Linked DNA regions of Macaca mulatta. The protein of the gene in region 1 purifies or fractionates together with the protein of each later gene. This does not show direct contact. Links are inferred from orthologs where the notes say so. Each region holds a gene or a part of one and is shown in the gene's direction. Other genes may lie near its edges.

Region 1 (3,500 bases):
AGGAAGCTCTGCTACGGCTCTTCCACTCAACTTCTCCAGTAGGCAGTTATTTCTTCATGCTTCCCATCAAGTTTCAGATTTACCATATTGTATGATAACTTAACATCTTTTTGATAATCAAAGCAATGAGCCAAACACATGAGTAAACATAATGTAAATATATATAACATAAATGTGATACCTTCATTCTAGTAGAGTGGAGTGTCAACACGACAGTCAGGTAAGTAAATACTTCGTCCATGTGTATAAAAACCTACTTTTTCTAATCCCAAGTCAACACATCCCATAACAGAAATAATTAGAGAAATAATGTGTATAACATTCTCCGCTTTCTTCGTTTAATGAAACCATCTATGCCCACCTCTTACAACTGACCAGAGATGGGCAGCAAGCTCTCAAGTTTCTAAGAAACATCTTAGGAATAATAAAACTACTATCCAATAACGAAAATGTGCTTTACTTCAATTGGCACTGAAAACGAATAACAGAAAAATCAAACCACTTGCAGAAAAGAAAAAAACCAACCAAAGAGAAGGCTGGAACGAAAGGGAGTAAGATGTCCGAGGAGCAGACTCAGCCTCCTTGTCCTGCAGGAGCCGGCTTGTCCGCAGCCGTGGGCCATTCCCCACCTCCCAAGACCTCATCATCAGCTCCACCCAACACTTCCTCAGCTGAGGTACACTCTTCCTGGTCCCGTTTCGCTTTGTTTTTTTCAACCCAAAGTAAAGGACTGATTTCATCTGTTACTTAAAAATTGCGTTCATAATTTGCTAGTTAATCAAATGTACGTATTGAGAAAACACTACATTTTGATCTTTTGCTTCCACAGGGATACTTGATGAACTTGACATTATCTCTGACTGCGGGAAGTTTTCTGTTCTGTGTTGTTTGGGGAAGGGAGAGAGAGCTGTGGAGTACAGAACTGTCAGCTGTGGGCTCGCTGTCTACTGTATTCCATGTCAGACCTCTCCAGCACCTGTTAGTTTGTGAATGAGGTTATCCATACCTTCAGCACTTTTTCTTATAAACAACCCCCCTGCATTAAAAGTGTTCTATTGCAATTCAAGGAGACTGAGATGTTAAAGAGAAAATACGTTAAAGAAAACCCACTCTGAGCCCCAGGTTTCTGTTAGCATGCTACCTGCTAGAGCCCTGACACTGAGAAAGGCAATGGTAGTGGGAATGACACTCCGCAGAGCGTCTCCAGTCTGAGCCTACTGAGATGACGGCATTCTGAGGGGTTGATCGCACATGTGTTCTCACCCCCTGTAAGCCAGCTGAATCTTGGGTAGAAACACTACGAGATGTGCTCTTAAAATTGCCCTGTCTGCACTGTTGATAACTGAACACTCTTCACGTCTGTAGTTTGTGGTGGGCACCATTTTTCATTTTAAGTGTCATTTAACTTTGTCTATTTTTAGGCTCTGGCACTTTAAGCTGGTAAGAGAAATAGTATAAGAAATTATTTCATTCTAAAATGTATTATTTATCTATTTACTGTTGTTGTTGTTGAGACAGAGTCTCGCTCTGTCACCCAGGCTGAAGTGCTGTGGCACGATCTCGGCTCCCTGCAGCCTCCACCTCCCGGGTTGCTGGGATTACAAGCGCCTGCCACACCTGGCTAATTTTTGTACTTTTAGTAGAGCCACGGTTTCACCATTTTGGCCAGGCTGGTCTCGAACTCCTGAACTCAGGTGATCCACCCGCCTCGGCCTTCCAAAGTGCTGGGATTATAGGTATGAGCCACCGCGCCTGGCCCTAAAATTTATTTTAAGTTACTTCATGACACTGGCTTTCAGTATCCACTGGTCTTATGTTGCTCTTATGCTTTATTTCTTAAGGATGATTCTGTTTAGAGAAAGGTCATCTTTTCACTATATGGTCTCCTCTATTACTTCCTCTTGCTATTATACCAGTTTAAGGTATCTTCTGCCCTGGCTAGCAATCCCTGTCTATCCTGACTCCAGCTCTAAACATCCGTGCAAGTTTTGGGGCCCTATGTTATACTGAGGTCACTGAATAGCAGTTCTGTATTTCTCAATCAGACATTTTTCTTTGTTCTCCTGTGCTATCATACACAGAACCCGAAAACAGTGGCCAAATGTCCGGTAACTCCCAGAAAAAATATTCTCCAAAAGGGCCCAGTGATAGTGAAGGTACTGAGTACAACGAAGCCATTTGAATACGAGACCCCAGAAATGGAGAAAAAAACAATGTTTCATGCTACAGTGGCTACACAGACACAGTTCTTCCATGTGAAGGTTTTAAACACCAACTTGAAGGAGAAATTCAATGGAAAGAAAATCATCGTCATATCAGATTATTTGGAATATGATAGTCTCCTAGAGGTCAACGAAGAATCTTCTGTATCTGAAGCTGGTCCTAACCAAATGTTTGAGGTTCCAAATAAAATCATCAACAGAGCAAAGGAAACTCTGAAGACTGATATTCTTCACAAACAAGCTTCAGGAAATATTATATATGGGATATTTATGCTACATAAGGTAAGTCCTCAAAATTTTTTTGTTTCATTTTTCCACCAACACCTAAAATTAAAAGCCTTGATGTGTGAGATGAAGCTTTGCCTATAAACTGGATATTGGAATCCAGGACTCTGAAGACTAATGGCAGGTGGATAAAAACTTCTCTGAAGATAAGACTGGGATTAGGGGACCTGTTAATGTTTCTTTCCCATGTTCTCCATCCCAGAACATTAAACTTAGGTCTTTACGGTAATGTTCACTGAGAAACCTTAAGACTTTATCAGTTGTTATTATCTATGCTAAGTGATCAAGGACAGTGTGAGGTCTACATCCATACACATGTAACACTAAGTTTATCCCTTTGGTTGTTATTCTACTGTTGTAAAAATCACATTGTTTTTATTTTGAATGAAGTATTGTCCTCTGAGGCTTGAGTTCTGGTTGTGACAGTCAGAATAAGAAATCAACTGACTACTCATGGCTGGAAAACAAATGCAGAAAGTAGGTAGGACAATGTTCTGACCAAATGAAATGAATCAATTGGGAAATATGAATTTGGATGATACTTGGAAAATCAGGTAATCTAAATTTGTCATTTATATATAAGTAACCAAAAAAATAGAGCACAGAGTGCTTTTCCTGATATGTTCCAGTCCAAATTCATGAAACTAGTTAGCATGAGACATTCAACCCCCCAAAAAAAGCATCTATCCTCTGCTATTGATTCAAGCAATTTCTTGTCTGATCAATATTCACTATCCATTATATTTGTTTCCTAGAACAAGCCATGTAACCTGCATTACTTTCTGTACATACTCTTTTTGTTCATTTTTTGAGACGGAGTCTCGCTCTGTCGCCCAGGTTGTAGTGCAGTGGCGCGATCTCGGCTCACTGCACCTTCGCCTCCTGGATTCAAGCTATTCTCCTGCCTCAGCCTCCTGAGTAGCTGGGACTATAGGTGTCTGCCACTACGCCTGGCTAATTTTTTGTATTTTTAGTAGAGACGAGGTTTCACCA
Region 2 (4,100 bases), on another chromosome or scaffold:
GAAGGACGAATTGCGGGAGACTCTCAAATCCCTAAAGAAGGTCATGGATGACCTAGACCGAGCCAGCAAAGCCGATGTCCAGAAACGAGTGAGTCCGGGCAGCACCGGTGGCCAGAGTGTTTCCTAGGCAAAGGCCGGCAGGATACAGCCAGGGGTTTGCGGCTTGTGCTTTTGGTCTGAGCTGCTCTTCTGGACTTTTTTCTTGCAGGTGTTAGAGAAGACAAAGCAGCTTATCGACAGCAACCCCAACCAGCCCCTCGTCATCCTGGAGATGGAGAGCGGTGCCTCAGCCAAGGCAACCCAGGGGCCGGGGCCCCCTCCCCTGGGGCACATCAGCCCTTTGGTGGCTGATATGTGACCTCTGTGGCTCTGAGCCAAGTGGTTGCCTAAGGGCCCACTGTCTGGGATTAAGGTTGGGAGGAGCAGCAGCTCCCTGCATGTGGGAGGCACACCTGGGCCAGGGTGTGGGCAGGGCCCTACACTGGGGTCCTCCACCCAGGCCCTGAGGACTACATCTGCTCTGGGAAGGGGTGGGGGTGGGTGGCGGTCCTTCTGAGGGCTGCAACTGCTCACACTAGTGAGGGTCCCTGCTCCAGCACCATGGTCTGAGCCAGGTCCTCCCCACAGGCCCTGAATGAAGCCTTGAAGCTCTTCAAGACACACTCCCCTCAGACGTCTGCCATGCTCTTCACAGTGGACAACGAGGCTGGCAAGATCACTTGCCTGTGTCAAGTCCCTCAGGTCAGAACCACCTTGCACCAGTGGGAAGTGTTGGGTCTTAAGCTTGTTTGCTGAGGCCTGTGTGTGTACAACCTGCATTTAAAAGAGCCTGTCTCCTGCCTGCCTGTTGGTCACCTTTGCCAGTACCTCTTACCCAGGCCTCCTCACTGGTTGCATCTGTCTGGTTGATACTTGGCTTTGCCACTCTGTCCTGTCCTGGCAGGGGCCATGACTGCCCCCTGCACTAGCCGTAAAGTCTGTCTCTGCCTCCAGCAGTATCACCCAGGGCAAAGGAGTGGGTGATGGCTCCTCCCTCAATCCCATTTTCTGTCCTGACTTCCCCCTTCCCTTTCTTTCTTCTAGAATGCAGCCAATCGGGGCTTAAAAGCCAGCGAGTGGGTACAGCAGGTGTCAGGCCTGATGGACGGTAAAGGTGGGGGCAAGGATGTGTCTGCACAGGCCACAGGCAAAAACATTGGCTGCCTGCAGGAGGCGCTGCAGCTGGCCACTTCCTTCGCCCAGCTGCGCCTCGGGGATGTAAAGAACTGAGCGGGGGAGGAGGTGGCTTCTACTGGCTCCATCCGTCCAGCCGGGAGCTCTTGATCTGCTACAAGAACATTTGAATCCTGGGACCTTTTGAGAGCCCCTCCTACCCCGGCTGTACCTGGAATACCCTCACGAGCAGTCCTGTGACTCAGCGCCCCTTATACTTCTGCCCTGAGCCCTCCACGTCAGTGCCATCTGTCGAGAACCACTACCCCCGCATTGCTGTTGATCACCACACTCGCATCTGTAGATAACAGCTTTCCAGCCTGAGCTTTCCGCGTCAGCAAGGACGAATCGTTTTTTGCTGCAGAGAATAAAAGGACCACGTGCAATACTTAATGCTATATGATCTCTATCCCTCTTCCCAGGTGGAGCTCGCTGTTTTGACAGCCCTTGGCCCCTGCTGTCTGTAGAATAAATGCTGTGGCTTATACTGGCTGCTGTAGTGTTCACCTAGTCCAGCCCCAGAACCCTAAATTTTGGGAAAAGCCCCTGGGGTTGCCTCAAACGTTTGTGGAGGTTGAGGCCAAATAGGGTGACATGGAGCAAGGCGTTCATAATTCAGTAGATGGGTGGGGTTAGTGGAAGCAGAGAAGCCTTGGAGCTGCTCTCCCGCTCCCTTCCAGCAGGAGGGATGGATCAGGCAGCCCTGCACAAGTGGGACCAGGGCGCCAGGGACGCCGGCCGTTCTCCCTCCGAGCCTCCAGCAGGCGCTGTAGCGCCGCCCGTCACTCTCCCGACAACCCTCACGCAGGCGCGCGTCTTTAAGCAACGGAAGAACCAGTGGGTGCGGCAGTGCGTTGGGCGGAAGCGGCTCTCACGCCAGGAGCCGCCATGCCCGGGGACCACCGCCGCATCCGCGGCCCTGAAGAGTCGCAGCCGCCGCAGCTGTACGCGGCCGACGAGGAGGAGGCGCCCGCCGCCCGCGACCCAACGCGACTGCGGCCCGTGTATGCGCGCGCCGGGCTGCTGAGCCAGGCCAAAGGCTCGGCCTACCTGGAGGCGGGAGGCACAAAGGTGCTGTGTGCAGTGTCGGGCCCGCGACAGGCCGAGGGAGGCGAGCGCGGCGGCGGCCCGGCCGGATCTGGCGGCGAAGCCCCGGCCGCGCTGCGCGGTCGCCTGCTGTGCGACTTCCGCCGCGCGCCCTTCGCGGGCCGCCGGCGCCGCGCTCCCCCGGGCGGCGGCGAGGAGCGTGAGCTGGCGCTGGCGCTGCAGGAGGCACTGGAGCCGGCCGTGCGCCTGGGCCGCTACCCGCGCGCGCAACTCGAGGTGTCGGCGTTGCTGCTGGAGGACGGCGGCTCGGCCCTGGCCGCCGCGCTCACCGCCGCCGCGCTCGCCCTGGCCGACGCGGGCGTTGAGATGTACGATCTGGTGGTGGGCTGTGGCCTGAGCCTCGCGCCGGGGCCCGCGCCCACTTGGCTGCTGGACCCCACGCGGCTAGAGGAAGAGCGCGCCGCCGCCGGCCTCACCGTGGCGCTCATGCCTGTGCTGAATCAGGTGGCCGGGCTGCTGGGCAGCGGCGAGGGCGGCCTGATCGAGAGCTGGGCGGAGGCCGTACGCCTGGGCCTCGAGGGCTGCCAGCGCCTCTACCCCGTGCTGCAGCAGAGCCTGGTGCGGGCGGCGCGCCGCAGGGGCGCCGCCGCCCAGCCCTGAACTAGAAGCCTGAGCAACGACGGACGCAAGCCGAGGACCGTGCTGCCGCCGTCCCCGAAAAGACCCGCGCCGTCGGCCTCCAGCCTGCGTCGAGATAAGCAGCCGGAGCCCTGGAGAGCACCTGGGTAGGCCCTAGCAGAGCCAAGGCGCCGGACAGCTGTGGTGTTGGAAAGGGTTTTTACAAACCTCGTTAAAGGAACTTTACTTGAGCCGGCTCTTAGCTTCGACCCAGTTGAGGAAACCTGTGAGCGCATCCTGACTCCCAAGTTGGAAACTTTAGCTGGACTTACCTGGAAGCTGGTACCTAGAGCTGCTGTCATTCAGGCCAGCCAGTGACCCCCTCCGATATAACTGGGCGACTTTTCAGAGGATGGACAAGACGACTGTGCCTTCTGTGTCTGAGCCAAAAGAAAGACCCTTTTATATTTGAAAAACGTCTTATGGTGTGGTTCTTCTTGGTCCGGGATTTAAGAGAGCAAGGCTCTTTTGTTCTTGCATCCCAGGTGTCAAGGGTCGCGGCGGCATTGCCTTAAACGGGTTCTGTTCCTTAGGCCCACGTGAACAGGAGAGACGGGCTGAAAAGAGCTCCAGAGCCTGATGGGAGCGCTGTGATTTGGAGAGCAGCTGCACCCACACGAACCAGAGTTAGGGGAACTGCTGAGATACGACGAGAGTAGGGAGAGTTGGCCGGGCGCGGCGGCTCACACCTGTAATCCCAGCACTTTGGGAGGCCAAGGCAGGGAGATCACCTGAGGTCGGAAGTTCGAGATCAGCCTGACCAACATGGAGAAACCCCGTCTCTACTAAAAATACAAAATTAGCCAGCACTAATAATGGTGGCATATGCCTGTAATCTTAGCTACTCGGGAGGCTGAGGCAGGAGAATCGCTTGAACCCGGGAGGTGGAGGTTGCGGTGAGTGGAGATCGCACCATTGCACTCCAGCCTGGGCAACAAGAGCAAGACTCCGTCTCAGGAAAAAAAGTACGGCCCCAGAAGTGCGCTGAGTGCACCTCGTGCCCCAACCTGGCTTGGTGCTGGGTAGCTGAAAAGGGTTTTGCTCTGGGTAGAAGCCATCTGTCCTTGGCCATGTGCAGAATGGCACAACCCGAGCCTCCACGGCTGATGAGAAGTGGCACCCTGGTCCTACAAGGAAGACCCTGAGCAGCACCGCAGAGGGCA
Region 3 (3,943 bases), on another chromosome or scaffold:
ATTTACGGCCCAAAGTGTGGTCTACTTGGTGAATATTCTACTTGGTTTACTTAAAGAATGTATATTCTACTGTTTAAATATATTGTGTGCATTTCGATTGAATACTGTTGGTTAAAATATGTTCAGTGTTAACTGGCTTTTCTATTTTTTCCCCATACCCTTATCTGCTGGATGCATTACTGATGGAGAAAGGCATTAATCTCAACCTTTAATAATGGATTTACCTATTTCTTTCAGTTCAGTTTTTTGCCTCACATATCTTGATCTATTGTGGGTACATACACACTAAAAATTCGTCTTTTCATAGACTTGACATCATTATCATACATTCCCTTTTATGCATAATAATATTGCTTTCTCTGGAGTTTGCTTTGACTGTAGTTGATATAGCTATTCCAGGTTAATTCTTTTAATTTTTAATTTTTGTGTGTACATAGTAGGTACATTTTAATGAGGTAAATAAGATGTTTTGATACAGATATGCAATACATAACACTCACATCATGGAGAGTGGGGTATCCAATCCCTCAAGCATTTATCCTTTGTGTTAAACAATTCAATTACTTAGTTACTTTGAAATGTGCTGTAACATTATTGTTAACTCGTCACCCTGTTGTGCTATTAAATAATAGATTTTATTCATTCTATTTTTTTACCCATTCACCATCCCCACCTTACCCCTCCTGTAACCTTCCCAATGCCACAGATAATTAAGAACATACAATATTTGTTTTTCTGTGCCTGTGCTACTTCACTTAACATTTTCATTTCCATCTATGTTGTTGCAAATGACAGGATCTCATTCTTATACACAATGGACCACTATTCATTTATATGTGCCACATTTATTTTATTCATCTGTTGATGGACACTTAGGTTGCTTCTAAATCTTTGCTATTGTGAACAGTGCTTCAAGAAAAATGCGAATAAAAAAATTTCTTCAATATACTGATATCATTTCTTTTAGATATTGTATTAGTCCATTTTCACACTACCATAAAGAATACCTGAGACTGAGTAATTTATAAAGGAAAGAAGTTTAATCGATTTAAAGTTCTGCGTGGCTGGGGAGGTCTCAGGAAACTTATGGCAGAAGGCAAGGGGGAAGCAGGCACCTTCTTCACAAAGCAGCAGAAGAACAGCAAGCAGGGGGAATTGCCAAATGCTTTTAAATCATCAGATTTCATGAGAACTCCCTCATTATCATGAGAACAGCATGAGGGAAACTGCCCTCATGATCCAACTGCCTCCCACTAGATTCTTCCCCAACATGTGGGGATTACAAATCAAGATGAGATTTGGGTGGAGACACAGCAAAATTACATCAACTATATACCCAGCAGTGGATTGCTGGACCATATGGTAGCTCTATTTTTAGTTTTTTGAAGAACCTCCAAACTGTTCTCCAGAATGGCTGTACTAATTTACATTTCCATCAACAGTGAATGAGGGTTCTCTTTTCTTGACATCCTCGCCAGCATTTGTTAGTGCCTGTCTTTTTTATATAAGACATTTTAACTGGGATGAGATTTATAGTTTTGATTTTCATTGCTCTGATCAGTAATGTTTAATGCCTTTTCATGCCTGTTTGCCATTTGTATGTCATCTTTTGAGAAATGTCTATTCAAATATTTTGCCCTTTTTTGGTTCAGATTACTAGGTTTTATTTCATATAGAGTTTGAGCTCTTTATTCTGGCTATTAATCGGATACATCATTAGATTTTTTTTAAAAGTTTTTCATCTTTTTTGATGTATGCAGTTACATCTATAAACTTCCCTCTTGCTGCTTTCACTATATCCTGTGAATTTTGGTATGTTGTTTCTATTTGTTTCAAGAAACTTTTCAATTTAATTTTTTCGTTGACCACTGGTCATTCAGGAGTGTATTGTTTAATTTCCATGTAGTTGTATAGTTTCCAAAATTCTTATTATTAACTTATAGTTTTAGTTCACTGCTGTCAGAGAAGATGCTTGACATTTGTACTGGTCAGGGTTCTCTAGAGAGACAGAACTAGTAGGATAGGTGTCTATATGAAAGGGAGTCTATTAAGGAGTATTAACTCACATGATCACAAGGTGAAGTCCCACAATAGACTGTCTGCAAGCTGAGGATCAAGGAAACCAGTCCAAGTCCCCAAACCTTAAAAGGAGGGAAACTGACAGTACAGTCTTCAGTCTGTGGCTGAAGGTCCCTAGTAAATCACTGGTGTAAGTCTAAGAGTCCAAAAGCTGAAGAACTTGGAGTCTGATGTTTGAGGGCAGGAAGAAGCACAGGAGAAAGATAATATCTGGAAGACTCAGCAAGTCTGCTTTATTCTAGCCACACTGGCAGTTGATTAGATGGTGCCCACTCACATTGAGAGTGGTTCTGCCTTTCCAAGTCCACTGACTCAAATGTTAATCTCCTTCAGCAACACCCTCACAGACACACCCAGGAACAATACTTTGCATCCTTCAATACAATCAAGTTGACATTTGTTAACTATCACAACATTATTTCAACTTTTTGAATGTGTTAGCACCTGTTTTGTAACCTAACATACGGTCTATCCTGGAATAATCCATGTGCTGAGGAAAAGAATGTGTATTTTGTAGTAACTGCACAAAATGTTCTCTAAATGTTCTCTATTAGGTCCATTTGGTCTATAGTGCAGATCGAGTCCAGTATTTCTTTTTCTGTCTGGAAGATTTGTCCAATGCTGAAAGTGGGGTGAAGTCTCCAGCTATTATTGTATTGGGGCCTACCTTCTTTAGCTCTAATATTTGCTCTATGTATCTGAGTCCTTCAGTGTTGGGTGCATATATATTTAAAATTGTTGTAACCTCTTGCACAACTTGACCTCCTTATCATTACATAGCAACCTTTGCCTCTTAGTTTTCATCTTAATCTACTTTGTCTGATGTAACTATTCTCATTCTTTTTTGGTATCTATTGGCATGGAATATTTCTCTTCATCTCTGTATTTTCAGTCTGTCTTTATAGATGAAGTGTTTCTTCTAGGCGACAGATCACTAGGTCTTGTTTTTATCATCCATTCAGCCACTCTTTTGACTAGAGAGTTTAGTCCATTTATGTTTAATGCTACTGATAAGTAAGGACGTAACTCCATCTTGCTGTTTTCTTGTTGTACAGTCTTCTCTTCCTCCTTTCCTTCCTGTCTCACTTTAGTGAAGGTAATTTTTTTTTTTTGAGGTGGAGTCTTGCTCTGTTGTCCAGGCTGGAGTGCAGTGGCATGATCTTGGCTCACTGCAAACTCTGCTTTACAGGTTCAAGCAGTTCTCCCACCTCAGCCTCCCAAGTAGCTGGGATTACAGGTGCCTGCCACCACGCCTGGCTACTTTTGTATTTTTACTAGACATAGGGTTTCACCATGTTGGCCAGGCTGGTCTCGAATTCCTGACCTCAGGTGATCCACCCACCTTGGCCTCTCACAGTGCTAGGATTACAGCCATGAGCTACCATGCCTGGCCAGGAATTTTTTTTCCTCTGGTAATATGACTAATTTATTGTTTTTTGTGTATCTATTGTAGGATTTTGGTTTGAAAGTACCATGAGGCTTCAAATACTATCTTTACAACCCATTTTTTATGCCAATTATATCTTAATCCTGTTCACATAAATAAGAAAAAACTAAAACTAAAACTTTGTTCCTGTGTTAGTCTGTTCTCACACTGCTAATAAAGACATACCTAAGACTGGGTAACTTATAAGGAAAAAAAAAAGGTTTAATGGACTCACAGTTCCATATGGTTGTAGAAGTCTCACAATCATGATGGAAGGCAAAGAAGGAGCAAAGGCACATTGTACATGGCAGCAGGCAAGAGAGAATGTGCAGGAGAACTGCCCTTTATAAAACCATCAAATCTCATGAGACATTCACTATCACAAGAACAGCATGGGAAAAACCTACCCACCCCCATGATTTAATTACCTCCCACAAC
Region 4 (4,197 bases), about 120 Mb from region 1:
CCAGCACTTTGGGAGGCCGAGGCGGGAGGATCACAAGGTCAGGATTTCGAGACCAGCCTGGCCAACATGGTGAAACCCCATCTCTACTAAAAATACAAAAAAAATTTAGCCTGGCGTTGTGGCACTCACCTGTAATCCCAGCTACTTGAACCCAGGAAGCGGAGGTTGCAGTGAGCCGAGATTGCACCACTGCACTCCAGCCTGTGCAGCAGAGTGAGACTGTCTAGAAAAAAAAAAAAAACAGGCCAGGTGCGGTGGGTCACACCTGTAATCCCAGCACTCTGAGAGGCCGAGGTGGGAGGATCACAAGGTCAGGAGTTCGAGACCAGCCTGGTCAATATAGTGAAACCCCGTTTCTACTAAAAATACAAAAAAAAATTAGCCGAGCGTGATGGCGCATGCCTGTAATCCCAGCTACTCAGGAGGCTGAAGCAAGAGAATTCCTTAAACCCGGGAGGCGGGAGGTTGCAGTGAGCCGAGATTGTGCCACCGCACTCCAGCCTAGGCAACAGAGCGAGACTCCATCTCAAAAAAAAAATAAAAATAAAACTAGGCTGCACGCTGATGGCTCATACCTGTAATCCCAGCACTTTGGAAGACCAACAGAGTGAGACTTTGTTTCAAAAACATAATTTTGTTTGTGATACAGTCTCACTCTGTTGCCCAGGCTGGAATGCAGTGGTTTGATCTCGGCTCACTGTAACCACCGAGTAGCTGGGATTACAGGCCTATGCCACCACGCCCGGCTAATTTTTGTACTGTTAGTAGAGACGGGGTTTCACCATGTTGGCCAGGCTGGTCTCGAACCCCTGACCTCAGGTGATCCACCCGCCTCAACCTCCCAAAGTGCTGGGATTACAGGCGTGAGTCACCGCGCCCAGCCTCAAAAACGTAACTTTAAAAAGAAATTTTTGAGACAGGGTTTCACCCTGTCACCCCAGCTGGAGTGCAGTGGAACCTCCACCTCCTCGGCTTGAGCAACCATCCCACCTCAGCCTCCGGAGCAGCTGGGACTACAGATGCGAGCCACCACGCCCGGTAATCCCGGTTTTTAAATAAACACGAGGGTAAGCGGGGCTCGCGGCCCTCGCCTGGGGTCCCAGCTACTTCGCAGGCTAAGGTGAGAAGATCTCTTGAGTCCAAGAGTTCGAAACCAGGTTCAACAAACATAGCGAGACCTCGTGTCAAAAATATATGTGATAAATCAGGTCCTCCAGGCCGCACCCTAGATCACAGGGTTGTTGGGATAATACAACATGAGGTAAAAGAACGTGAAATTCATGCTACAGCGCTCAGAAGTGCCACCCCAATCGCAGGCGCCCCGCCCGCCGCTTCGACCTGGCGCATGCGTGGTGCGCACACGTCGCGTCGCGTCGACCGAGACGCTCTCGCGAGACAAGCTGTGCTGGCCGAAAAAATGGCGCCGCCCAGTACCCGCGAGCCCAGGGTCCAGTCGGCTACCAGCACGACCAAACCCGACGGGGAGATGGTACTGCCAGGCTTCCCGGACGCCGACAGCTTTGTGAAGGTGAGTTCGCGGGGCCTTGGGGGTACCAGGAGTCGCCCGCGGCCGCCGGAAGCCGACCCGGGCCCTCTGGGCAGCCAATGCCCGCCCGCCGCAGTAGATCCCGAGCGAGGGTCGCGGGGCCCCTGTCCGCGCTGGGCGCAGACTCCTGCATCCTCCGGGGATGGGGCCTCAGAAACGGACACTGAGGGGCGTCCCGCTTGCCAGCTTAAGTCCATGTAGGCCCAAATGTGGAAACCCATCTTGCATCCTGGGAAAGGCTTCCTTGCCACCCAGACGTCCCTAGCCCTTGCGACTTCGCCCCCGCCACGCCCTAGCCACCCGACCAGTTCTCCTCAGGGTCTCGGCTGCTTCGCACTCCGCACACTTGCCTGGAGTTGTCCCCTCCCGCGACCAGGATGGCCCTTCTTCTCTTCCTCTGTTCCTGAAGTCCAATCCTACATAATTTTTAACCCTGAGTTAAATGTCACCTGTTAAAGCCCCATTGCACTTCTGTCAGTAACTCCTGAAAGACACACAGAGCGTTCACTTAAGATCTTTGTATAACTTAGCTTAAATGTGAACAAACGTACAACTAGGCTTAAACTGTGCATAGCTCTTACAAAGCCATGAAACTAAAATAATTTGTAAATTAGCCCTATAAATTTACAGAAATTCCACTCACGTTGTATGTATCTAATTTGCCATTAGCTAATGCTGTTGATTCATTAACATGGCTCTCATTAATTCCTGGACCACTAACTGTGGTCTTGGTTGTGTGGCAGTCATGCTCATAAGCTACCATGTGCCCCTCCATGACTTAATTTCCCACCTCCTTTCTCTGCTTTTTTCTTGGGAAATGTTTATTTGGCCTTCACATGATCAACCATCATTTATGTCACTTCACAGTTTTGTTTCGTTATCTCACAACAGCTAAAATAGAGAACCACTTGACACTAACTGAACAATAAACACAAATCCAGTTTTAGATAGTAGCTGTTACAACTTTGTCGTCCAAGGATCTAGGATAAGGTTGTATTGTTTTTAGATGCTCATCCAGATGAAAACACAAAAACACATTCCTGATCTGAACTTGAGTCATAATAATAACACTTATGTGCCAAGAACTGTCCTAAGTGCTTTTATTAGCTTATTCATTCTGTCCTCACAAAAACTCTGTGGTGTAGGCCCTTTTTATTTTTCCTGTTTTTCAGAGGAGAACACTAAAGTCCAAATTAAAGAAATCACTTGCCCAGGATCTCAGTTAATACATAGCAGAGTCAAGATTCAACCCCAGGTTTTTGTGAATATTAGATTATATATGTATGTGTTTGTTCTGTCTCTCAACTCTCCCAAGAATGTAAGCTCCAAACTTGGTTTCCCGTTCATGCTTGTATTCTTAGGGCCTAGATTAGATTGGGGTTTGGCACTAAATGAGTACTTTTTTGATGGATGAAGAGTAGATACCTTGTATACAGTAGATCATAAAAATGATATATCAAATGAATGGGGATCCATGTGTAAAACATGCCATCTTTTCTTGTTTTGGACAGTTTGCTCTTGGATCCGTGGTGGCAGTCACCAAGGCATCTGGGGGCCTACCACAGTTTGGCGATGAGTATGATTTTTACCGAAGTTTTCCTGGTTTCCAAGCATTTTGTGAAACACAGGGAGACAGGTTGCTTCAGTGGTAAGTACTATATTTTGTTTTCTTATGTTAATGAAAAGAAATGAAAACAAAGAGGTCGATAAATTTTTCCTGAAATTTATTTTTCCTTAAACATTTTCTGTGGTATGAAGAGCCATAAAATATGAAAATTGAAGCAATGGATTTTGATTAGGGAAATATTACTTAGTATATTTTTAGTTTAGCTTTTTAAAAATGTATTGACTTTTGTACTTAAAAAATACATTGACTGTAATCCCAGCACTTTGGGAGGCCGAGACGGGCAGATCACGAGCTCAGGAGATCGAGACCATCCTGGCTAACACGGTGAAACCCCCTCTCTACTAAAAAATACAAAAAACTAGCCGGGCGAGGTGGCGGGTGCCTGTAGTCCCAGCTACTCAGGAGGCTGAGGCAGGAGAATGGCGTAAACCTGGGAGGTGGAGCTTGCAGTGAGCTGAGATCCCGCCACTGCACTCCAGCCTGGGCAACAGAGCGAGACTCTGTCTCAAAAAAACAAAAAACAAAAAAAAATTGACTTTTGTACAGATCTTTTTTTAATTAATGTGGGAATTGAACACTTAGATCCAAGATTCATTCTTTCTTTCTTTCTTTCTTTCTTTTTTTTTTTTTTTTCTTTTTTTTGAGATGGAGTCTCACTCTGTCACCCAGGCTGGAGTGCAAGGGCACGATCTCGGCTCACGGCAAGCTCCACCTCCTGGGTTCACACCATTCTCCTGCCTCAGCCTCCCGAATAGCTGGGACTACAGGCGTCCGCCACCACACCCAGCTAATTTTTTGTTATTTTAGTAGAGATGGGGTTTCACCATGTTAGCCAGGCTGGTCTTGATCTCCTGACCTCATGATCCACCCACCTCAGCCTCCCAAAGTGCTGGGATTACAGGCATGAGCCACCGTGCCTAGCCAGATCCAAGATTATTTCACACAACTTGTAGAGTAGCAGGTATTTCTTTTATTTATTTATTTATTTATTTATTTTTTAATTTTAATTTTTTTTTTTTTTTTG
Region 5 (3,500 bases), on another chromosome or scaffold:
GTCTTTCAAAAAATATAGTGTTCAAGAAGAAAAAGATTATATAAAAATTCATAAATTGTTAGAAGTGAATATTTATTAAAATTGCATCAGATAATATACATTTTCAAGTTAATTTTTTTTTTTTTTTTTTTTTTTTGAGACGGAGTCTCGCTCTGTCGCCCAGGCTGGAGTGCAGTGGCCAGATCTCAGCTCACTGCAAGCTCCGCCTCCCGGGTTCCCACCATTCTCCTGCCTCAGCCTCCCGAGTAGCTGGGACCACAGGCGCCGCCACCTCGCCCGGCTAATTTTTTGTGTTTTTAGTAGAGACGGGGTTTCGCCGTGTTAGCCAGGATGGTCTCGATCTCCTGACCTTGTGATCCGCCCGTCTCGGCCTCCCAAAGTGCTGGGATTACAGGCTTGAGCCACCGCGCCTGGCCTCAAGTTAATATTGAGTGTATTACATTCATCTATTTTCTTCTTGTTTGTTTGTTTTGAGATGGAGTCTCGCTCTGTCACCCAGGCTAGCATGCAGTGGCATGATCTCGGCTCACTGCAACCTCCGCCTCCCAGGATCAAGCGGTTCTCCTGCCTCAGCCTCCCGAGTAGCTGGGACTACAGGCGCCTACCACCACGCCCGGCTAATTTTTGTATTTTTAGTAGAGATGGGGTTTCACCATGTTGGCCAGGCTGGTCTCAAACTCCTGACCTCGTGATCCACCCGCCTCAGCTTCCCAAAGTGCTGGGACAGGCTTGAGCCACCGCGCCTGGCCTGTTTGTTTTTTGAGGCAGAGTCTCACTCTGTCACGCAGACTAGAGTGCAGTGGCTCAATCTCAACTCACTGCAACTTCCACCTCCCAGGTTCAAGCAGTTCTCCTGCCTCAGCCTCCTGAGTGGGTGGGATTACAGGCGCCTGCCCCCACACCCACCTAATTTTTGTATTTTTACTAGAGACAGGGTTTTGCCATGTTGGCCAGGCTGATCTCAAACTCCTGACCTTAAGTGATCCGCCTGTCTTGGCCTCCCAAAGTGCCAGTATTAGAGGCGTGAGCCACCACACCCAGCCATCATCTTCTATTTTTAAAAAATCTTTTCTTTATACCATATCAGCCTTTTAAAACCTGGCCATATATGAGTTATCTTTTTAACATCTTTTTCAATAACAAAAAAATTTAGTTCTTCGGTTTCAGAACATGATGTATTCTAAATGGTGTACTGATTTGTTTCTTATTCTTGTGTTCTCCTTTCTTCAGATAGTTTGTCCTGCTTATTATTGAGTGCTTCTATGGATCAGACTATTCTTTTATGGGAGTGGAATGTAGAGAGAAACAAAGTGAAAGCCCTACACTGCTGTAGAGGTCATGCTGGAAGTGTAGATTCTGTAGCTGTTGATGGCTCAGGAACTAAAGTAAGTAGCTGGAATGTAATTAGTACTGTGTTAAATTAGTATTGGAGCTTGTTCCTAAACATTTTTTTCTACATATATTCATTGTGTTGGCCTAGTTTCCTAACAATCGGTGACAAAAGATAGGATTTCAAAGCAAGAGTAAATACTCATACAGTAGGAGATAGTCAGTTGCTCAGTTTGAATATCCCTGGTTTAGAACCTTATATAAACTTCAGAAATTTTAAGAAATGAGGTGGCCGGGCGCGGTGGCTCAAGCCTGTAATCCCAGCACTTTGGGAGGCCGAGACGGGCGGATCACGAGGTCAGGAGTTCGAGACCATCCTGGCTAACATGGTGAAACCCCGTCTCTACTAAAAAATACAAAAAACTAGCCGGGCGAGGTGGTGGGCGCCTGTAGTCCCGGCTACTCGGGAGGCTGAGGCAGGAGAATGGCGTAAAAACCCGGGAGGCGGAGCTTGCAGTGAGCTGAGATCCGGCCACTGCACTCCACCCTGGGCGACATAGCGAGACTCCGTCTCAAAAAAAAAAAAAAAAAAAAAAGAAATGAGGTATGGGCCGGGCGCAGTGGCTCACGCCTGTAATCCCAGCACTTTGGGAGGCTGAGGTGGACAGATCACCTGAGGTCACCTGAGGTCAGGATGGTTCGAGACCAGCCTGACCCACATGGAGAAACCCTGTCTCTACTAAAAAAAAATAAAAAATAAGCCGGGCATGGTGGCACATGCCTGTAATCCCAGCTACTCGGGAGGCTGAGGTAGAAAAATCACTTGAACCTGGGAGGCGGAAGTTGCAGTGAGCCGAGATTGCGCCATTGCACTCCATCCTGGGCAACAAGAATGAAACTCAGTCTCAAAAAAAAAAATAAAGAAAAAAGAAATGAAGTAAACAAGCCATTCATTTATATAACTTTCTTACCTCATAGTAATTGACATATTTCCAGTCTATATCAGCTACTCTTAAGTGCTGCCATCAACTGAAAATGGCTCGTTGATCATCTGAGCGTTAGCATACACTAAAGTTAGTGCTAATAGAGTTTTACTATAGTACCTATCTACTCTTTATCATGATAAAATGGTAATAGTTAAAAGGTAACAAAACTGAGGGCAATACCATATTGATTTATTAATATGAAGGGTTATAAATCCACTTGCAATTTGAAAGTTTCCTAAGCCACATTGAAGTTTTCTGGACTTAAGAGTGTTTCTTTGACAGTTAGGATAACAGGATGCTTGTATTCAAAGGTGAAGATTTATGATTTTTCATATTGAACCAAAAGTTTATATGTTGTTTAGTCCAAACTTTAGTGAATTAACTGTACCCCTTCTTTTTGGTTAAGGAGAGATAGAAACTCAGCTTGAACTTATTTAACCTTAAAAGTAAATGGACTGTGAGATCCCAGGAAAGATTGAACAACCACATCACAAGAAGGGTAATGGTGCATTTGGGCCTCAGGAACCAGTGGAATAGAGGCTTGAATGTGGTCCGCACACCCTCTCGCTCTCTTGTCCCTCAAGTTGACTTTATTCTCTCTCACTTCAGATTGGCTTTCTTCAAAAGACATGGCAATAAGCCTGGCCTTCAAGATTTCCCAGATTTTATGTCCTGTCCTATTTGCCCTTGGAAAAGGCTAATTTCAACTCTCTGGAACACAAGTTCTTTGAAAAGGTCCTGAATGAGGAAGAGACCTACTGGTATAGGCAAATAATATGAATCATATTACATATGTCTTTTCCCTTCATATACATCTGTTTAGTTTTGCAGTGGCTCCTGGGATAAAATGCTAAAGATCTGGTCTACAGGTAAATTAAATATTTATTTTACTTTGACTTATTAATGTTGTTTCAAAAATTTAAGTTCAGAGGCCATGTGGTGGCTCACGCCTGTTATCTCAGCACTATGGGAAGCCAGGGTAGAAGGATCACCTGAGGCCACAAGTTCAAGAACAGCCTAGGCCACGTAGTGAGAACCTGTCTCTACTAAAAGTGGAAAATTAAAATTAGCCATGTGTGGTGGTATGCACCTGTAGTCCTAGCTCCTTGGGAGGCTGAGGTAAGGGGATTGTTTGAGCCTAGGAGTTTGAGGTTTCAGCGAGCTATGATATCATGCCACTGCACT
Region 6 (3,500 bases), on another chromosome or scaffold:
AGGCTGGGGCAGGAGAATTGCTTGAACCCAGGAGGCAGAGGTGGCAGTGAGCCAAGATCGCGCCACTGCACTCCAGCCTGGACAACAGTGAGATTCCGTCTCAAAAAAAAAAAACATAGATTAAATTCACATTGGAGCTTGTTTGCCTTGAAAGAGTTCCCTACCTTGTAACAAGTTCTGTGTATTTTGTGTGTGTGTGTTTTCCCATTTATTACTGAAATTTTATGTTCATTTTCCCTGGGTGCTTGAAATTATATATTCATTTTGAGGTGGTTAGACCTATTGAATTTTCAGTTCTCTGAAAACTTTTATGTTTTACATGGAAATCTTTATACTGTGATCTTAGACTTCAGAAGTAATTAGGAGAGCATAATGAGGATCAGACTGCTAGAAACAGGACGTAGTGGTCAGAAGATTATGTTAGATGATCAGTGCGCAGCTCTCAGTAGTGCTTGACTCCTAGTAAGCACTTAATGAGGGTTAGCTACTGTTATCAGAAGCATGCTATACTTTTGTGCAAAAAATGAGGGAAGGTTGGGATTTTAAAAAGAGAAACATGGTGTTTGGAACCTGGAGCAGCATCATCAGCTGTAGGATCATGACACAGCGAGATTCATGGTCCCATGGTTGATGGCTGACTTGATTTTGAGCTCGGTTCCTTACACTGAAATTGCTAATCTCATCATAATAAATAGGCCCTTTTAAGAAGAGCAGATCTGAATGTGTCCTCTCAGAGAGAATCCCTTTCCTTAAGAGGAGGTTTTATGTTTGAAAGAGACTGGATTTGGAGTTGGAGAACCAGGACACTGCCACTGTGAGTCCTCTGGCAGGTCCTCTCCTCTTTCTGGATGCCTCATCTGTAAACCTGGCCAGTTGGACAGAACTCTTTCCGAGGCCCAGCCAGTTCTAAAGAATATGGGGTGCTCAAACATGCATTGAATACTTGTAAAGTTTGTTACAAGAAATAGGAGTGTCAGAGGTGGGGAAACAAATTGATGACTCTTCTGTTGCATCTTCTCTATTAAGAATAAAGGAATTTTTAAAAATTTTCAAGTGACTTCTCTGTCTTTGAAAACATCAGATTTACACAGGAGTTTAGTTAGGGTGGGGATGACATTGCTTTTGTCCCTTAAATTCGAACAACTAGAAAAGGAGGTTACTGTTCTTGGGTATGTTGATTGGAAATGTCATACAGTGTAAATTTGTAACTGCTTAGTTGAGGCTTTCTGGATTTGGTTTCCCCTCCTCCTCTGTTTTTGTTTTTCATTGTGGTAGCTAAACAGCCTTCATTTGCCATGAATAAGCAACCTAACTTTAAAAGCCTTTATCCACTTGTTCGATTTAACAGAGTTTCTTTATCTCCTTTCACATACATCCCAGCAGGGAAATTCTAATAGAAATGTTCTTCATTCATGCCGATGCTACATTTAAATGCAGCTGCAAATTAACTGTCTCTACTCAGTGACCTCAGCAAGTGATGTCCCTCGTAATAGTGGCCCAAGAAATACTGGCCATAATGAATGAAGATAACACCTTTAAATATTTTTTAAGTCCTTGGGCTTGGTCAGTTAATATAAATGAGTTGTTCAGTAATGCTAGTCACAAAAGAGAATTGATTCTGTGTTCTAAGTGTAAATCTCTGTGTGCTTTAATGAGACAATTTCAGAACTAGCTCCACATTTTCCATGAAGTACGCTGGGAAAAATAGTTAAGTATGTCCTTCACCATTGAAATTCCAGGCATACTTTAAGACTGTAGATATCAATTCTTTTTGTTGTTGTTGTTTATAATTTTATAGGACATTGTGCTCACTTCGGCGGCACATACACTATAATTTTATAGGAAATTATCAGTTCCTTGTTTAGCACAGTAAATGACAAATATGGAAGGAAGGTCCTGTGGTACTTTTTTAAGAATGCAGATATTGATTCTTCTTTTTGTTTATAATGTTATAGGAAATTATCAGTTCGTTGCCTAGCATAGTAAATGACAAATATGGAAGGAAGGTCCTGTTGTACTTACTAAGCCCCAGAGATCCTGCACATACAGTACGAGAAATCATTGAAGTTCTGCAAAAAGGAGATGGAAATGCACACAGGTAAAAACAAGTAGAATGGCTTGACTTCTTTATTCCTCTGCTCTGGTTGTCTGCTAATGTTGAATAGTGCATGCGTCCAGAAATCCACTTACGCCTCTCTCTAAAATTGCTGAAAAGGTGAATTCCATTGTCACGCCTGTATTTTTGACAGATTCTTAAAGCTTTTATCTTGAAAAGGAAACAAAAGTGTCATGCCAAAAGAATACCTCTGAGCCCTTGGCACGTAGTAGGCATTCAGGTGTGTGGTTTGATTTTTGTTTTGCTTTCTTTTCAAAGCTACCGATACCACGTATTTGACTACCTAGAGTATGGTGTCCATACGGCAGTGTAAATGTGTTGTTTTGTGGGTATGTTGTTTGGTTTTTGGATTTTTTTTTTTTGGTATTACACAAGCCAGACTCCCTTTATTGAGCGCTTGTTCTGTGGCAGGCATTATTCAGATCGCGGGACAGAAATATTTTTAAAAACAGATAGAACACATACTCAAATCACTCACTGTCTACGTGCTTAACAGAAAGATAGACAATAATAATAGAGTGTGATACAGTCTGTGATAAGCTCTTAGAGGTTTTTGTGATAATAAGATCACATTTCCTTTGCGATTTATCTTACCCTAATACCCCATTCAACATATTCAACAGTAAGAAAGATACAGAGGTCCGCAGACGGGAGCTCCTAGAATCCATTTCTCCAGCTTTGTTAAGCTACCTGCAAGAACACGCCCGAGAAGTGGTGCTAGATAAGTCTGCGTGTGTGTTGGTGTCTGACATTCTGGGATCTGCCACCGGAGACGCTCAGCCTGCCATGAATGCCATCGCCAGCTTGGCAGCAACAGAACTGCATCCTGGTGGCAAGGACGGAGAGGTAATATGCCGTTAAAGGCCAGGCAGGAAAGCTGCAAAGGCCACAAAAACTTCATTTTTGGAGGATGCGGGGTGTCAGTAAGAAAACTGGGGAGGGAGATGCCTGTTGAATAACAACAAAGAACCTCCCACAGCAGCAATTACATTCATCTTTAATTTTCTCTAACCATCTGGGTCAAAGCCTGGCACTTGGGAATGTTTTGCAGACGTGTATTTGGTTATGAATGAAATCATTGCCAAGTGTTGAATGCCCAAGGTGCTTCTGACACCTGAGATTGGGGAAGAGAAGATTGGGGAAGAGAAGAGATCTTAGAGAAGCCCTGGCTCCTCCTGACCATATTAACAAAGGGGAAAGATGAATGCAGCTTGAAAGTTTCGCTATAAGGAGACTGAGCTGGTTGCCTCCCATACTTGCTAAGGAGAAACCCAAGTAACTGGGAACGATCGCTATTGCTCTTGAAAAGGAGTAAGGTTGAGCTGAAGAGATGCTTTCTTGAGCTGCTCATCAGATAATCCCCTTAGGTAGTCAGGTGTACTTA
Region 7 (2,179 bases), on another chromosome or scaffold:
CTCCAGGACTTCAGCTGTCTTAAGGTAAGCGGCGATCCAGGCCCTCCCCACCTCTCGCCCTGGTGACATCTCATGCCCTACCCCCTCCTCTTTGCAGACATTCGAGGGGCACGATGCTTCTGTGCTGAAGGTGGCCTTTGTGAGCCGTGGCACACAGCTGCTGTCCAGGTGAGTGGTCTGGGGCAGGGCAGCGATGGGGTGGGGGATGGCGGGGTGACCTGCCTGACGCTGAGCCTCTCCCCACCCCAAACCCAGCGGCTCGGATGGCCTCGTGAAGCTCTGGACCATCAAGAACAACGAGTGTGTGCGGACGCTGGATGCCCACGAGGACAAGGTCTGGGGGCTGCACTGCAGCCGGCTGGATGACCGCGCCCTCACTGGGGCCAGCGACTCCCGAGTCATCCTCTGGAAGGTTGTGGGCCCCAAGGGCAGGGAAGAGTCGGGGTGGAGTGGAGGCCCCATCTGACCCCAGTCTGACCCCAGGATGTGACCGAGGCGGAGCAGGCAGAGGAGCAGGCCAGGCAAGAGGAGCAGGTGGTCAGGTAAGACCAGGGCAGTGGCGCCCCTCCCGGCATCAACACTGCTCTGTGCTGTAGGGAAACTGAGGCTGAGCACCAGGCTTGCTGCCTGCTGACTCCGATGGCTCTGCCAGCGGCCCTCAGTGGCCTCTCTTCCCCTCCCCGCAGGCAGCAAGAGCTGGACAACCTGCTGCATGAGAAGCGGTACCTGCGAGCACTGGGCCTGGCCATCTCCCTGGATCGGCCCCACACCGTGCTGACTGTCATCCAGGGTCAGTGCTCACCCAGGGGCAAGAGGCTGGGTCTACGGACCACTGGGCTCTGCTTTCCCCAGCTCAGCCTTCCCTCCTCCCACAGCCATCCGGAGAGACCCTGAGGCCTGCGAGAAGCTGGAAGCCACCATGCTCCGACTGCGGCGAGACCAGAAAGGTTGGGGGCCGGTCAGGGTGGGTGGCCCGGCGGGCAAGGGCCAGTCATGGCAGATTGACTGGGCAAGAGGATGAGGGTCCTGTTGCCCACAGAGGCCCTGCTGCGCTTCTGTGTCACGTGGAACACCAACTCGCGGCACTGCCACGAAGCCCAGGCCGTGCTGGGTGTGCTCCTGCGGCGCGAGGCCCCCGAGGAGCTGCTGGCCTACGAAGGCGTGCGGGCAGCGCTTGAGGCCCTGCTGCCCTACACTGGTACGTGGGCACAGCCTGGGGTTGGGGGATCCTGGGGGGCGTGTGGACCACCCCCCTGACCTCCTTCTTGTCCAACCCCAGAGCGGCACTTTCAGCGGCTCAGCAGGACACTCCAGGCCGCCGCTTTCTTGGACTTCCTGTGGCACAACATGAAGCTGCCTGTGCTGGCGGCCACCCCCACACCCTGGGAAACCCATAAAGAAGCGCTCCCCTAGCCGGTCCGGTCTCTCTCCAGTCCATCCTGAACCCCTGGAAAACCCATAAATGCCGCTTTCCTAGCCGGCCCTATCTCTCTGGACTCCAGTCCAGCCCCTACCCTGGCCAACACCCTACCTAGCCAGCCAGAAGGGCACTGGAGCTGATGGTCTCCGCCTTACCAAGCCCATCCCGCACCCTGGCATGGCAGAGATCCAGCCCGCGGCTCCGCACGCTTAGACGGTGGGGGTCATTCAGAACAAGCTTTACTCAGAGGAACAGCAAATACCCGCCTCCCGTCCTGCTGGCCAGGGAGATCCGCCCTCCCCGCTCCTCCTCAGCCCTGGGATGGCGCGGTCCATCCCCGCATCGGGATTCTGGCGCTCACCGCTCCGTAGTAGGGTGCGGCACAGGCACAGGGTCCACGCACCCTCGAGACGGGCCCTGGCGCCCTGGGCGCCGCTCCAGGGCCCTGCGTGTGACGGTGCAGCAGCGGCTCTGGATGGCGCCCGCCGAAGGTCGGGTGGGCACGGTGGGGGGAGGGGCGGTGGCCTGGGAGGCTTCCCGGGAGCCCCGGGCCTCACCGGCCGGGTCGTCTCCTCCACGGAATCCCGTCCCGCTCAGGAGTGCGCCCAGCCCTTCCGGTCGCAACAGCACCGCGGGGAGGAGGCCCTCCCGGTCGCCATACCTGCGAGGGGCGGGGTGTGGTTAGGGCCCCGCCGGCCTCGGCTAGCCTCCCCCGCCCACGCCCGCTCGCGTACCTGCACAGCCACCAGCCGCGGTCTG

What was found.
Region 2: the proteins of IFI16 (region 1) and EXOSC6 purify together in Homo sapiens (affinity purification with mass spectrometry; 3 studies listed by BioGRID and IntAct, with this or other methods). This does not show direct contact. The link is inferred for Macaca mulatta from reciprocal best matches to the Homo sapiens genes IFI16 and EXOSC6.
Region 3: the proteins of IFI16 (region 1) and TRIM21 purify together in Homo sapiens (affinity purification with western blotting; 3 studies listed by BioGRID, with this or other methods). This does not show direct contact. The link is inferred for Macaca mulatta from reciprocal best matches to the Homo sapiens genes IFI16 and TRIM21.
Region 4: the proteins of IFI16 (region 1) and EXOSC10 purify together in Homo sapiens (affinity purification with mass spectrometry; 3 studies listed by BioGRID and IntAct, with this or other methods). This does not show direct contact. The link is inferred for Macaca mulatta from reciprocal best matches to the Homo sapiens genes IFI16 and EXOSC10.
Region 5: the proteins of IFI16 (region 1) and WDR12 purify together in Homo sapiens (affinity purification with mass spectrometry; 3 studies listed by BioGRID and IntAct, with this or other methods). This does not show direct contact. The link is inferred for Macaca mulatta from reciprocal best matches to the Homo sapiens genes IFI16 and WDR12.
Region 6: the proteins of IFI16 (region 1) and PUM3 purify together in Homo sapiens (affinity purification with mass spectrometry; 3 studies listed by BioGRID and IntAct, with this or other methods). This does not show direct contact. The link is inferred for Macaca mulatta from reciprocal best matches to the Homo sapiens genes IFI16 and PUM3.
Region 7: the proteins of IFI16 (region 1) and TBL3 purify together in Homo sapiens (affinity purification with mass spectrometry; 3 studies listed by BioGRID and IntAct, with this or other methods). This does not show direct contact. The link is inferred for Macaca mulatta from reciprocal best matches to the Homo sapiens genes IFI16 and TBL3.

What each region holds. Positions count from the first base shown.
Region 1 is NC_133406.1:107,905,289-107,908,788, reverse strand, and holds part of IFI16 (gamma-interferon-inducible protein 16), read left to right. Parts: intron 1-508; coding exon 509-676; intron 677-2,081; coding exon 2,082-2,504; intron 2,505-3,500.
Region 2 is NC_133425.1:69,619,055-69,623,154, forward strand, and holds the start of EXOSC6 (exosome complex component MTR3), read left to right. Parts: upstream 1-1,300; 5' UTR 1,301-2,100; coding exon 2,101-2,919; 3' UTR 2,920-4,100. Other genes in the region: AARS1 (alanine--tRNA ligase, cytoplasmic), read left to right, coding at 1-88, 209-295, 628-741, 1,084-1,269. UniProt on the Homo sapiens protein: Non-catalytic component of the RNA exosome complex which has 3'->5' exoribonuclease activity and participates in a multitude of cellular RNA processing and degradation events.
Region 3 is NC_133419.1:71,426,933-71,430,875, forward strand, and holds the start of TRIM21 (E3 ubiquitin-protein ligase TRIM21), read left to right. Parts: upstream 1-1,143; 5' UTR 1,144-1,153; intron 1,154-3,943. UniProt on the Homo sapiens protein: E3 ubiquitin-protein ligase whose activity is dependent on E2 enzymes, UBE2D1, UBE2D2, UBE2E1 and UBE2E2.
Region 4 is NC_133406.1:229,624,351-229,628,547, forward strand, and holds the start of EXOSC10 (exosome complex component 10), read left to right. Parts: upstream 1-1,397; 5' UTR 1,398-1,417; coding exon 1,418-1,528; intron 1,529-3,057; coding exon 3,058-3,194; exon of another isoform or gene 3,195-3,220; intron 3,221-4,197. UniProt on the Homo sapiens protein: Catalytic component of the RNA exosome complex which has 3'->5' exoribonuclease activity and participates in a multitude of cellular RNA processing and degradation events.
Region 5 is NC_133417.1:108,101,113-108,104,612, reverse strand, and holds part of WDR12 (ribosome biogenesis protein WDR12), read left to right. Parts: intron 1-1,230; coding exon 1,231-1,385; intron 1,386-3,138; coding exon 3,139-3,184; intron 3,185-3,500.
Region 6 is NC_133420.1:96,642,571-96,646,070, forward strand, and holds part of PUM3 (pumilio homolog 3), read left to right. Parts: intron 1-1,955; coding exon 1,956-2,098; intron 2,099-2,739; coding exon 2,740-2,962; intron 2,963-3,500. UniProt on the Homo sapiens protein: Inhibits the poly(ADP-ribosyl)ation activity of PARP1 and the degradation of PARP1 by CASP3 following genotoxic stress. Binds to double-stranded RNA or DNA without sequence specificity. Involved in development of the eye and of primordial germ cells.
Region 7 is NC_133425.1:3,197,554-3,199,732, forward strand, and holds the end of TBL3 (transducin beta-like protein 3), read left to right. Parts: coding exon 1-24; intron 25-97; coding exon 98-168; intron 169-255; coding exon 256-412; intron 413-483; coding exon 484-542; intron 543-686; coding exon 687-790; intron 791-875; coding exon 876-947; intron 948-1,039; coding exon 1,040-1,198; intron 1,199-1,279; coding exon 1,280-1,413; 3' UTR 1,414-1,679; downstream 1,680-2,179. Other genes in the region: NOXO1 (NADPH oxidase organizer 1), read right to left, coding at 1,778-2,081, 2,155-2,179. UniProt on the Homo sapiens protein: Part of the small subunit (SSU) processome, first precursor of the small eukaryotic ribosomal subunit.